2 linked regions of the Caenorhabditis elegans genome follow. The protein of the gene in region 1 purifies or fractionates together with the protein of each later gene. This does not show direct contact. Each region holds a gene or a part of one and is shown in the gene's direction. Other genes may lie near its edges.

The links. Proteins that work in one complex are often made in the same cells at the same time.
Region 2: the proteins of mom-5 (region 1) and vang-1 purify together in Caenorhabditis elegans (affinity purification with western blotting, with the first as the bait; one study listed by BioGRID). This does not show direct contact.

Annotation. Positions count from the first base shown.
Region 1 is NC_003279.8:9,963,582-9,970,569, forward strand, and holds mom-5 (Protein mom-5), read left to right. Parts: upstream 1-1,998; 5' UTR 1,999-2,059; coding exon 2,060-2,532; intron 2,533-3,025; coding exon 3,026-3,396; intron 3,397-3,460; coding exon 3,461-3,599; intron 3,600-4,139; coding exon 4,140-4,381; intron 4,382-4,493; coding exon 4,494-4,614; intron 4,615-4,961; coding exon 4,962-5,180; intron 5,181-5,605; coding exon 5,606-5,753; 3' UTR 5,754-6,456; downstream 6,457-6,988. Other genes in the region: tsp-7 (Tetraspanin), read right to left, coding at 6,532-6,665, 6,768-6,912. UniProt on the Caenorhabditis elegans protein: Receptor for Wnt proteins.
Region 2 is NC_003284.9:2,884,188-2,891,219, forward strand, and holds vang-1 (Vang-like protein), read left to right. Parts: upstream 1-1,670; 5' UTR 1,671-1,684; coding exon 1,685-1,840; intron 1,841-2,652; coding exon 2,653-2,786; intron 2,787-2,836; coding exon 2,837-2,969; intron 2,970-3,021; coding exon 3,022-3,240; intron 3,241-4,007; coding exon 4,008-4,450; intron 4,451-4,794; coding exon 4,795-5,013; intron 5,014-5,064; coding exon 5,065-5,233; intron 5,234-5,988; coding exon 5,989-6,114; 3' UTR 6,115-6,494; downstream 6,495-7,032. Other genes in the region: B0410.3 (Neuropeptide-Like Protein), read right to left, coding at 6,684-6,863, 6,924-7,032.

The DNA of each region.
Region 1 (6,988 bases):
GAACATCTCTTCTTGGCTACGTTTACTTCATTTTTTTACAACCATCAAAAACTACCTGATATTGAAACGAGAAATCATCCAAATTGCTCCCATCGCGAACATTTTCGCATTCCCCCTTCTTATCACCATCTTGTCTGAACCTCTTCTTCTTTTCCACTATTTCCAATTCCGCGTCCATTTTTCATTTCCGTTATCAATCACAAATCACTCGTTTGCTCCATTTTCTTCTGGTCACAAGCTCCCAGTTGTGTTGCTCTCGTCAGTTCTTTTTCATCGAAACGACGGGCCTATTTGTTCATTTGATTTGATTCGGGAATTGAATTTGACACCCATCTCCGGCACGAGACGTGTATGTTGGCTCTTCACATTGCGAAACTCGGCCTCCCAGTTCGGATGTTGGAAAAGTTTATTCAAAAGTTCAAATAATATGTTTATGTGCTCCTCGAGTTCGTCGATATTAAATTTCTGGCATCTTTTTTTGAATTTCGAAAACAATTAAATTATTTATATAATTTTCAGGCTCGATTCTGCGATTTTTAGCAAAAAATACGGTACCTCTCGACGCGCCAAATTTTTGATAAATGTAGAAAGCTGTGCGCCTTGACAGAGTACTGTAACTTTAAACTTTGCTGCGGAATTTCCATCGATTTTTTATAGTTTTCCGATAGAAAATATTGATTTATTAAATAACTTGATTAAAACAATGAAAATCCATGAATTTACCTATATAAAATCAAAACAATCCGCAGCAATGCGAGTTACAGTACTCCTTGAAGGCGCAAACAAAACTTTATCGTGTCGAGACCTGGTACCGTATTTTTGGTGCAATATTTTGCGTCCTTTTGCTTAAGAATATCGTTGATTTCAGACAATTTGTTTTAAATGTTTTCTTTGCTTTCTTCAACTTAAATATTTAAAAACTAAAAACTAATTTCCGAAATGCCAAAAAATTCTACCAGTTAGGTCATTGCTCTTATCTCTTCTACAGATCGATCGTCCCCGTTTTTCTCAATTCGATTCTCATCTATATTTTCCTCAATTCTCTCCAAACAATAACAAGAATATTTTCGAAATGAATCACTGTTTGAAAATTCTTGAATCCTTCCTCCCTCATCCGTTTGCATGTTCATTGCCCATTTGACACTCGAGCAGCAGGTGGCCTGTGTCTCTTCACTCTTTTTCGATCTTTTCATTAGGTCAGTGCTCATCATCATCATTAATTACTCTCGAATTCCGAGCCGTAATTATTCTTTACTGTGTGTGTGTGCTCCGTTCTCTCGGAAGTTGCGTAACGAGAGAGTATTACAAAAAAGAGATTAGAGGCATGTTGTACAGTAATCTAAAGATTAGATTCACTTAGATACCGAAATCTACTATTCTTTGTCTTTCTTTGCCACGTTTCTCACTATAATTTCACGATTCATTGATTCGATTTAGCACTTGGAACCAATGTCAACATTACACCATTTCACTTTTTTTGAAAATTCAATGTTTTCTCATCAATTGAAGGTCAATTTATGGACCGAGTCTTCTATTTTGAATTCCAATAAAACCTTCCAAAAAATGTTTATAGAAAATGTTTCGAAGAGAAATCCCTAAATTTAGCCAAAATTTTTAATGTGTCATCTTTGCCAACTGCCGGAAAGTATTTGTGTTGGTTTTCTGATATTTCGAGAAAAAAAAAGATTTTTCGTAAAATATCTAAAATTGTTGGCCATTTTCCTCCGTTTAGAAGAATTTTTTGAAAATGTTTATCCACATCAACAACTCATTAAAAATTTCACTTTTTGTTAATTTTCTAAACATTTTTTTTCGATTTTTTCTGAAAAAGATTTTAGCTATTTACTTAAGTTCGGTTTTTTTTCCAAATTTTGCCAAAAATCATTTTTCTAGAATTTTGTTCTCTCCATTTCACAAACTATTAACTAAATAATGTTGAACTTCTTCTATACATATAACCAAAAAAACTATTTCTTTAATAATTTTTTATATTTTCAGACGAATCCTGCTATGAACTAACACTTGTCAATCTGAAATCTCTTCAAAACTATCAATTACAATGCATCGACATATTCTGATATTATTTTTATTCGGATGCTTATCAGCTGATCAACGACTCTCATCAACTTCAATTTCATCGATGAATGGATTCTCAACAACTCGAAAATGTGAACATATTACAATTCCAATGTGCAAAAATCTGGATTACAATCAAACAGTATTTCCAAATCTTCTCGGACATACAACACAATCTGAAGCTGGTCCAGCAATTGCGCAATTCAATCCATTAATTAAAGTTAAATGCTCAGAAGATATTCGTCTCTTTCTTTGTACTGTCTATGCACCTGTCTGTACAGTACTCGAAAAACCAATTCAACCATGTCGAGAATTGTGTTTATCTGCAAAAAATGGATGCGAGTCATTAATGAAAAAGTTTGGATTTCAATGGCCAGATCAATTGGATTGTAACAAATTCCCAGTAACTGATTTGTGTGTTGGCAAGAATTCCAGCGAGTCGAGCAACTCTAAAAAGTGGGTTTTCTGCATAATTTTATGAATAAGAATTTATAATTGATATATATTTACAACAAAAATTTCAAAAGTACCCAAAACATGAATTAAAGTTTAAATTTACGGGAACCGTTCTAGAATCCTTTTTTTAAATACAGCGAGAAATTAAATTGTAAATTCAGTTAAAATCATCGGTTTTGCATTTAAAGAAAAATAATAATAAATTCAGAATGGCCTGCAAAGACCGAACCTCGTAAGAGTTTTCAAAAAAAAAAAGCTCTCTGAAAATTAAATTTACGGCCGCTGTGATACTGACAAGTTTGGCTGAATTTAAGTATTATTCCGAATTTTTGAGCCCCATAAAAACTCCTACTCCAAAGCGTCAAATAGTTTTTTATCAAAGTTTTTGAATTTAGAAATTTTCCGAAAAAAATGTACATCGAGATTTCTAAATTCTTTGTTTTATCGAACAATAAAACAAGTTTCCGTAGATCGAAATATAAAATATTTCAAGTTACAGAAGTAGTAATGACGTCACATTCGGTGTTTCAACAATTGCCAACGAAGTTGTCCTTTCTCCAAAAAAATGCCCTCATCATATGCATACAACAAGCGGATCTCATTTTTCATTGCCTCTTCTCAGTGGACGCCTTCCTGAATGTTCATTAACATGTGAAGCTGACAATCAAGTACCAATGATGTTTGATGGACGTGTTCGACGAATTCTTCGAATCTGGACAGCAGCATGGTCTGTGGCATGTTTCGTGTGCTCTTTATTCACTCTTGTCACATTTCTTGTTGATTTATCACGATTCGCGTATCCAGTTCGACCGATTTTGTATCTCGCGTTCTGTTATCTAGCAATTTCTACGGTTTATATGATAGGTGAGTTGAATTTTCTGTTTTTTTTAAATCAGATTTTTTAGAAACTAAAAATGTATTTCTACAGGCGTAGTCGGTGAAGATGGATTCGCTTGTGGAACGTATGGATCTACTCCAACAACACTTGTTACGCAAGGAGGAGAAAATGTTGGATGTAGTGCTCTTGCTGTTGTTCATTACTTTTTCTTCATGTCAAGTTGTGCGTGGTGAGTTTTTTCGTTAATTTTTGTATTTTAACGAAAAAAGTACCGTTTTTTGTACCACAAATAGAAAACTGGTTTTGAAAATGTGCATTCGAAAAAAAATCGGCATGTTTTTCTTTTGTTCAAACACATTTTTCAACAAAAAAACGACAACTGAAACATTTTTTTTTTAAAGAACTTTTTGAATATTTTGATAAAAATTTTAATTTTTATAATTTCGAGTGTAATTTTTCAGAAAAAAATTACATTTATGATTTTCGACAATTTTCAGTAACAAAAATCTAAAAAATATTTTTTTTAAACCAAATTTTAAATGAAAAAAACCCCGTTTCCGGAAAATCGGAAAATCAAAAAAAAAATTCAATTTTTATCAAATTTTGTTCATGAAAAAAATGTATTTTTTCTTCAAACAAAAAAAAAACAAAAATCGAAAATTTTTGTTTTCATTGAAAAATCGAAAATCGACACCCAAATTTTTAATCTTGATTTAAACAGCTATCAGCCTTTTTAAAATGATATTTTATATACTAAGTATTCTTTCAGGTGGCTTGTACTGTGTCTAGCCTGGTTCCTGGCGGCAAATCTGAAATGGGGAGCTGAATCAATTGCTGCTCTGTCACCATACTTCCACGCAATGTGCTGGGGAGTTCCAGCAGTTCTCTCGGTTACTGTACTAGTGACAAATTCTGTCGATGGAGATGTATTTACTGGAATCTGTTCAGTTGGAAATTTGAATCCCTCTGCTCTCGTCTATTTCTTTTTCACTCCGATCGTTGTATCGTTGGGTTAGTTTTTTTGTGAATATTATGGTGGGGGAAGACCGAAATTGAATTCGTTTCGTTGTGTGTTCCATCGTTATTTATCTTCGTTTTCTTCTCAGAAATGTTCTATTTGCAGCACTCGGAGCAGTTTTACTCGTTTGTGGAATTTGGTCAATGATCCGTATTCGAAGTTATATTAAACTTCAACACGCCGATGTTGAGAGGAATATCAGTAAATTGGAGAAATTAATGTTGAGGTTCGATATTTCAAATTTTTGAAAATCTTCAAAAGTACCTGAGCTTTTTTAATCAGAAAAGAAATACTTTCGATTTTTGGAAAACGAAAAATTGGAAAAACATGTACAGAAAAAGACGAGCAAACTAGGTTTACTGATGTAGATATATTGATTTCAGTTTGGAAAGTTGATAAATTATTCTAAAACCCGAGAATTCCCTGGAAATCATTTTTTATTTAAAATTCCAAAATTTCAGAAAAAAAAAACGAAAAAATTGGATTTCCTAAGAACCGAACAAAATAAGAAAAACTTAAGAATCGCTTTTCTGATATTCGTTTCATATTATCATACAAATATTATATTTTCAGAATCGGTGCCTTCGCCATAATGTACTCTCTACCAACTGCAATGAATGCTGCAATTATGTGGTATCAGGCAGTAAATATGCCTGCCTGGCTTGAAGGATGGCTTCATCATCGATGTGTTCGACTTCAAGATCGAGAATTATTCGGTTTCACGTATCCAGTTGATGATTGTCCGATGGATCCGAAAGTTGCAGCTCCGGAGATTATTGTTTTTCTTTTAAAGTTAGTTTGAAACTGTGAATCAGTTAAATTTCAATCTGTATAATCTAAATTTGATTTTCTGATTTTTGCGCCAAAAATGCGACATCCGGTTTCGACAAGACGAATGTTTGTTAAATGCAAAAATGTATACGCCTTTAAAGAATACTGTAGTTTCAAACTCTTGTTGCTGCAGAATTTTCATCGCTTCTTGATAAAAAATATTCTTATTTAAATATTAAGCAATTCAAACACAAAAAGCCTAACATAAGAAAAACTATTCATGAAAAATCGATGTAAATTCCGCAGCAACGCGACTTCGAAGTTACAGTACTCTTTAAAGGCGCATATTCGACAAAATTGGATCGTGCCGAGACTGCATAATTTCGCGTCTAGTTAATATGAATTATTTATCTTGATTCGAAACCCCTAAATGTTCTTATTTTCAGATATGTGTCTCAATTGGTTGTTGGTATAACCTGTGCCATTTGGGTTGTCTCTTCAAAAACTCTTTCAAGTTATCACAAGGCTTACCTGGCACTCTCTTCGAGGTCACCTACTGTACCTGCTCATGTTGATCAGGTTAATATGAGGTGATAGTCTCTTCTTGTCATTTTATCCTATTTATATGTATTCTCATTCCTTTTCTCACTTTTTTCCCAACCAACTCAAATGTTTCTTTTTCTTCATTCTTTGTAACTTTTCTGACTTATTCTTATGCTCTCTCTTGCTCATCGGACGGCGCCCATCGGTCCCCTTCCTCTCACAGAATCATTCCCCAGAGCATGATCCATCTCTGTGTCTACACTCTCCTCGTCTACTCGTTGTCTCTCAATGCTTCCTGATTTGAGTTGCGACGAGCACATTTCTAAGAACCGGCTCCCAAAGATGCGCTCTTACATAGCAAAAGAGAGACAACGAGTGGAAAAGATGGTGAAAAATGATATTTTTGAGTGGAATTACATTGAAATCTGACAAAAAGGGCAGAAAGAAGCTTGAGAAAAGTCAAAAAAGAACCCCCTTCAATTCAGGTTACTGTAGATCAGTTCTCTCGCTGCCATTTTTCATGTATCTCGTTTATTCATGTTCTTAAGTTCTGTTGTCACCAGCTCCAGCACAAGGTTCACACACTTTTTTTCACACTTTGAGCACTCCAATCAGGGTAAAACCACTTTCATCCCAGTCTTTGTCTCGAATTTAGAGTTATGAATTTATTACTCATTATTTATGCGGTTGCTTATTTTTCTTCATCCTCAATTTCTTTTTCATCGTATATTCATATATAAATTATACATTATTATTATTGTTTAATTTGTGACACGGCGATTGAAAGAACCTAAAATAAGGATTGCAAAGAAAAACGGATGGTTATGAACTAATAATAAAAGTCATGGAAATCCTTGAGAATTGATTTTGAAAGACAACAAGCGAAACAGACTCCGACCAATTGAATTGCTGCCAAAACTGCACAAATTCCGCCGACCATTGCTCCATTCTTGAGCACCCATTCTGCAATTAAAAAAACAATCAAATTTCCGATAAGCCCAATCATGCTCTATTGAGAAAGTGCAACAGAGCACACTTTGATCTTCTTGGAAAAAAAAGACTAACGTTCGACACTGTGAATGCATCCGGGCTCAAAGAGTGGAGCATTCTCTCGAGCACATCCCTCGATTTCTTCAATGCAACATGAATCAGGAATTGTTGTGAATGTGAGCCAATCGGATGAATTTGTTACTCCACAACATTCAAACAACTAAAATTGAAATTAATTTGAATTTTAAATGCTGTAGTTCTACTTTAATTTTTTTTTTGGAAGTTTTGCTAAATTA
Region 2 (7,032 bases), on another chromosome or scaffold:
ATATTTCATATTAGAGACATAACAAAATTTTTGAAAAAAAAGTGTTTCTTTGTGATTTAACAAAGTTATACATTAGAAATGAGTTGTTGAATTTTTTCAATTTATTCCATACCAAAACTACTGCGTTCAGAAAAAACATCTGGTTTCTGCATAAGTTCCGTGAGTTTGTGTGTCATTTTTTTGAAATTTTTGAGGTCAAAATCAGTAGTTTTAGTCAAAATTGTTTTTCAAACTTTTGATGTGTGCGGAAAATTTCGAAATTTGCCGAGCTCGGCAAATTCCCCAAACATACTGTTTTGAAATTTGCCGAGCTTGGCAAATGGTGAACTTGACAAATTCGGCAAATTTGTCGCTTGCTCCTGCTACACAAGTACCAAAAAATAAATATTAGAACAACAAAACGTTGACAAAATTACGGTTGAAGCATTCTAGCACCTTTCGATTGTCACACTAAACAATCGATGCATAGATCCCAATTTTCACTTACACTTGCAAATGTGCTCCAATGAAATTACCATTTGCACTACTGTTGTGTTATCTACGTAACCGTTGTGGTTCTTTGGAGTGGTGTGTCTGCGCGCGCACACCTTCGCCTCTCACACCATTTTCACCCCACTCATCTTTGTTACTGCACACCCCTGATTTGTCGTCTTTCCATTTTTCGTTCACCTCTTGACGGATTGATGCTAATTTTATTGTACCGAGCTGTTTAGAATTCAACTTTTTCAATAGTCCTAAAGCTTTATATCTTGCCAGGTTGCCATATTTTCTTATTTTATGATTTTCTCAGCTATCTAAAATGCGGTACTTGTGAAAGTATACCTGGATTTAAAATATTAATCATTTTGAAAATTTTACGTAATTATGTTCTATACTATGTCCATAAGGATTAATGTTTTTCTAAACCTAAGAATACAAATCAATTTCACGTTTTGTTTAAATTGTAATTTTTAAAAGAAATGAATGGAAAACGTATTGAAACATATTTTTGAGCTAGGTATATTACACAAGTACCTAAAATAGATACATGTTTCGTCACAAAATAAGGAGCCCGTCAGCTAAATCTTACTTTTCGGTTTTCTTCTACCCAAATCCGCTCTTTGAAATCACCAATGAGTGTCGCATGTAATTGACGACCATTGGGAGATGAAAACCGGCTCCAAGGGGTGACAAGAAAGATGCTCCGGTCCGGGGGTCCGTTTTTCGAAAAGCCCCGCATCTGGTGCGGCCTAGCGGATAGTAGTAGACACACACACACACACACACGCACGCTCACTCACCATTCCTCTTCCCATTCCCCGCTCGCCTCTGACCACACCACACATACGCACACACTGGCCGAATGGGTTGCGCTGGGGCAAGCAGTGGAAGGAGAAAGAGGAGGACGCTGCATAATGTGTTAGAGGTTATTTTCTTTTCGGGGTCCCCTCTTTTCCGTCCACTCGTTTGTCATTGATCGTGGATGGATCGTTTACTTGCGGTTGTGTGTGTGTGTGTGGAACGAAAATGTTATGACGGCGTGTGCGCAACCCGAAGGGCTCGTTTTATCTCTTTTCACAAATTGTCTTTGCCAATCTATCGTTCCGTTCGGATTTTTTTTGTTACATGAAATATAATATGTTATAAATCTCATTCTTTTCAATGGATCAAAATTTTTGGAGAGATTTTTTTTTTCAGGTGGAACATGTCGTATCAAGATAACAGGAAACTTCCGAAAGACACGAGGAGTTGCGTTGGAGGTTTTCGGTATGAAGGACACAAGAAGCAACTACGACCAAGATATGCACAATCTGAAATTGGCGAGCCATTTATACCGAGGTTTTCTGCAATTGCTAGTGAGGTAAGCCTTTTTTTTGAAGATACATTTTAAAATGAAACTCAATTAAATGAGGAGTAACGGCTCTGGGTACCAATATGTGCTCAAAATGAACACATTTTTTTTGTAATGAAACTTCTCAACAGTGTTCAAAATGTTTTTAGTCGGTTTAAAATTTAAAGAAAGGGTTAATTTTTTCACATTTTGAGCAGGCAATTTTTATGCCAGTAGGTAACCAATTCAGGTAATTTTTGATTATCTATTCGCTTAAAAAGTTCCTTAAAAAGTAGGCCTGAAATTAGTTAAAATTTGAAATTTGTCCTACTCGTCAATGTCGTTGCGGCTGGAATCTTTTTTTTTGAAATTTCCGTAAAATTTTGAGTATACAATGTAATTATCCTGCGTTTTCAACTTTATTTAATTATTTTAAAGGCGATGAACGAAGAGATTTGGTAAAGTTTTTAAAAAACATAAATAAATGAAATACCGTGAGATAAACAACCAAAATATTCAATAAAAAAAAACAAAAAAACTGCTGTGTCACGGAAACGTGGCCAAAATTTGAGAATTTTTTAAAAAAATTCGTCTTTTTTTTCGAAATATTGAACCTCCCATAAATATTTTTTAGAAGTTTTATTACGAAATTCGTTTTTAATTCAGTTTCTGAAACTCCTTAAATTCTTTGTTCAGATGTGTCAAAATAAGATATAAGCCGACCAAATATCTTATCTAAAATTTAAAATGTCATAAACGCCGAGTCGATATACATATCTTATCGCTTTGCGTTTTCACTTTTGGAAAATCTATTTTTGAGTACATCTATAATTCATTTGCAGGGCCAGAAGATTGCACCACCTAACGAAGACTGGGCAGACAACACCACCGTGCTCACTGGAATGACGACGGATTCTTTCACAATGGAAGAAAAAGTGATTTATACCCCACCAATTGGACGTGTCATAGGAAGACGGTAAATGTTCTTTTTTTCTAATTTCACTTTTTATAACTATTGAAATTCAGGTGCTCTAGGTTTGTCTGGCTGTTGGCCTCGTCGTTACTTTGCATTATATCGGTGGTCAGTGCGCCGATAATGTGTTCATTGCCTATAATCGCACCACGTTTCGGCTTCAGCATGCCGGCAATTCAATGTGACGTGAGTATTTCGAAAACCAATTATATCGCATTAAAAATATAATGTATTGCAGGTCGATTGTGAAGGACTCCTGTTTTTAATGGCAATCAAAACAATCTTTTTGGTAATTGCAATTGGAGTTCTTTATTGGAGGAAAGCCATGGCAGACATGCCCAGGTTGTACTTTGTACGAGCTGCGCTTACATTTTTAGTCATGTTTATCCTGTTCGCGTTTTGGCTCTTTTACATTGTCAGGATAATGTTTGAAAGATACGACAACTACAAGTACATCGTAGGTTTTTTTTTTCAAACACAGTGGTGGCCAAAAGTATATGCGTTTTTGGGATTTTTTTGCTGGCTTTTTTTATAGTTTCAAATTAGTATAGCGCACAAGCTAGGTACCCTAAAAATTAAAATTCAACTACATAACTGTTACCTAGAATGTTGTCTACTTGATAACTCAGGTTTCAATAAATTAAGTCATTGAAATCAAAAGATATAGCATCGGGCACCTCGTAAGTCCTTTTTTTGCCACGTCCCTTTAAAGGTGTAGCAATGCCGGCACTCATCGTGAACAATTTCTGAAAATGGAGGTTAAATTGTTCTAAAACTTTCAGTTCAAATGTGAATAAAAGTGTAAACATTAGTTATTTAAAATAAATGCCTAAAAATATTTTTGAAAAAAATGACCAGATTTTCAACCGAAATTTTCAATTCTACCGATTGCGTAAGAAAAAACGATTGATAACATGCAATATAAAATTATTTGCGGATTATTTGTTACTAAAACTTTGCTCATGAAAACTGTTCATTCTTGAGTTACAGTCATGAGATGTGGCAAAAAAATTGGCTCGCGAGGTGTCGGCCGCTGTAACTTAGTCTTTTAAAATGTTGAAACTTGTGTTATCATGTGGACAAAATTTTAGGCAACAGTTTATTTGTTGAACCATTTTTTTTAAGTTCATAATTTGTAGCGAAAATTCAGAAGCGGGTATACTGTTCGACTTCACTATGAATCATTTCGAAAAAAAATTGTGAAATCATAATTCATAATTTCAGGTTTCCTATTCCACATCACTGCTCGACGCTCTTCTATGGACACATTATCTCTCTGTTGTGCTCCTCGAGCTTCGTCGTCTACGTGCCCAATTCATTGTAACTATTGTTCGCGATCCAGACGGTGAAATGCATACATTGAACATTGGCGCTGGCTCAATTCAAGAAGCTGCCACCGAGATTCTTCGTTTCTACACAACTCGATTCTCCTCGTTCAACATTCACCTTGACAACGCCAGACAGACGGCGGTTGCAAAGCAGTCTGGAATGCAAGGAGGCACCGCAGGCTTCAAGATGTACAATATCGAGCAATTTGGAGGGCAGGAAACTGTTAGTGAAGTCAACACGCGGGCTTTGATGGAAGCCGCGGCGAGAAGAAGGATTGGTGGATATGCTGAAGTGATGCAGGAAGAACTTGATTTTGAAAAACGGTTAAAGAAGAGAAAGTAAGTGTTTTCAAATTCAGAACTAACGATTTGGATACTTTGAACAAATTTTGTAATGAAACTTCTCAAAAAAGTTTAAAACTTTTTTTAAACGGCTGTTTCAACTTCCTAAATATTATATTACTTTTTTCAAAGCTATAATTTCAAATTTTGTCCACTTTTCCCTGTCACAACTGTTGGAATTATATTTTAGAGTTGAGGTAGCGAAATGATTTTTTGGACACAAAATGGCCTAAAATTAAGGAAATTTTTATTGAGAAGTTCTGAAAATTGTTCAAAAAAAATTATGGCGGTTCAAAGCTTTTAAAAATGGCCTCTTTTCGAAACTCATAAAATCTTTACAGGTATCGCCTAATTGCCGCCGCCGAAGACGCATTCTCCCATGTTCAGAACACTGCCGAGTCCGGAACGAACCAAAAGCCTGGAATTAACAACCAGATGGACTCACTGACCGCTGCTCAAAACGTATTCACATGGATTGTCCGGCCGCTCACCAAATATTTAAAAACTACTCGTCTTCAGTCAAGACATCCTTCAGGAGAAGTTACGAGGCACATTGAAAGGTACGTTTTTTTTAATAAACAGAATTCAAAGATTAAGCTTTCAAATTTCAGATGCCTAACACTCAAGTTGTCTCATCGAACATTTCTCCAACGCTTCTTCAGTGACCGTATTCCCCAACGGGAAATTGTCGGGGAATCGAAATGGTCGGTAATTTGCGACGAGGCGGTGAGCTCTGGAGTTCAACACGGAACGTATCTAGTGCTCAAATCGCACAACCCAGTAAGATTTTGAAAAGTTAATGTTGAAGCTAAATACACATTTAAAACGACCGAATATCATAATTAAACACTCCAAAATTTTTTAAAGATTTTTTGAATTTTACAACGTATTGGCAAAGTGCCAAATTTTTGAAAAGTCTAAGCATTAAAAAAATGTAGAGCAATTTCGCATGTTCGGACACTTACAAAGTTCGAACACAAATGTTTAAAACAAAATTGAAGTAAACAAAATAGTAGAAACAACTTTTTAAATCTACTTCCAACATTATGAGTGGCAAAACTGAGTAATTGTCACTTTTTGAAAAAATAATTCAATTTTGTTCGAAACGTTTTTCTGTTATATTTGGCATTTTTGGCACCATAGCAGTAGTATGTCCCATATTTCCTCCAGTAGTTTTGCATTCAAAAAAAAATGCTTGATCGGTCGGTAGGGTTGCAAGAGCATTACAAAAACACTTTAACAAAAAATATTACGAATAAAATCCGAAAATTGGTATTTCTGCATTATTTAAAGCCGATTGGCAACAAATTTTTATCATTTTATTCTGCTAAACCCATGTACCTTTGAATGATTTTATATTGCAAATTTCGGTAAGTTATCTTACGCTATTTTGTTGACTTAGGTACATCTCAAGCAAAATTTGAAACCGCCATCAAAATTTTTAAAATTTTTGAAAAGATTCACTCAAACTTCGCTCGAAAAAAAAACAGTTACTTCTCAGACTTGCTAAACCGTTTAATATTACCTTTTTTCAGGATATCGACTGCGGAGTTCAACTTGTTTGCACCATCTCGAGTATTCCGTTCTTCAATTTGACCGAGCAAGCCAAACCTGGAAATGAAAAGTTTTCCTTAAAAATTAGCAATGAGTCGGCAGTTTGATTTGTGGGCTAGTCATCATGCCATCAAGTAAACTTCCAAAAAAATGCCCATTTGATTTGATCAGTTTTTTAAAAAATTTTTTTTACCTGTTAGCTTCTTTTCTTCAACTTTTATTCTACATCATGCTGTTTCTATGTACGGGTTCCTCATCTGACCGAGATGATAATGACTGACATTTGACATCTCTATCGCGCTGCGTCACTTACTTCTTCGAGTATTTATTTTTCTTTAAGTTTCTTCACATTGACTTATGGTCTGGTACCTTTTCAATATGATATGAATAATTTATTCAAGTTTAAGTTTTTCTTAATAAAAAAGTGATTATTTATTATGTATATTTGATTTTAAAAAAAGAAAAAAAATACATCATGGAAAGAAAAATCATTTTTATGAGATCAGAGGTGGTATATTTGTTTGAGTGTGACTGACTTAGCATGTTGATTAGATGTACATCAGGAAATACCCGTAACACATCACTAGAGAGAACATGTCAAATCGAGAGTACGCTATGAAAAATGAAGGAAACGGATATATGAAAAAAAATGCGAACAAGATAGTTTTAAGTTGGATTACACAAAAAGTCTCGGGAACATCAAGCTTCTCTTCTTCCTTCCAAATCTACTGCTGGTGATTCTCTGACTATTGAAAAACGTGGAAATTCTGTCGTTGATCGTGGGATCCATATCATATACAATACCGTTCTCATCCATGAACTGGTTGGGCGAGAAGTTGTCATTGATTTGTTTTTGCTGAAAACAGTATTGGTGAAAACCGATTCAAATCTAAAAAATTGAAAAGTATTGACTTACCCAATCATCTTCTCCGCGCAAATGAAGAATCGGACGGAAATCAGTGTTTTGCATTCCTATCCGACGTCGCGTCAATTTCTCAGATCTGTAGGCATCGAGAAGACTCATT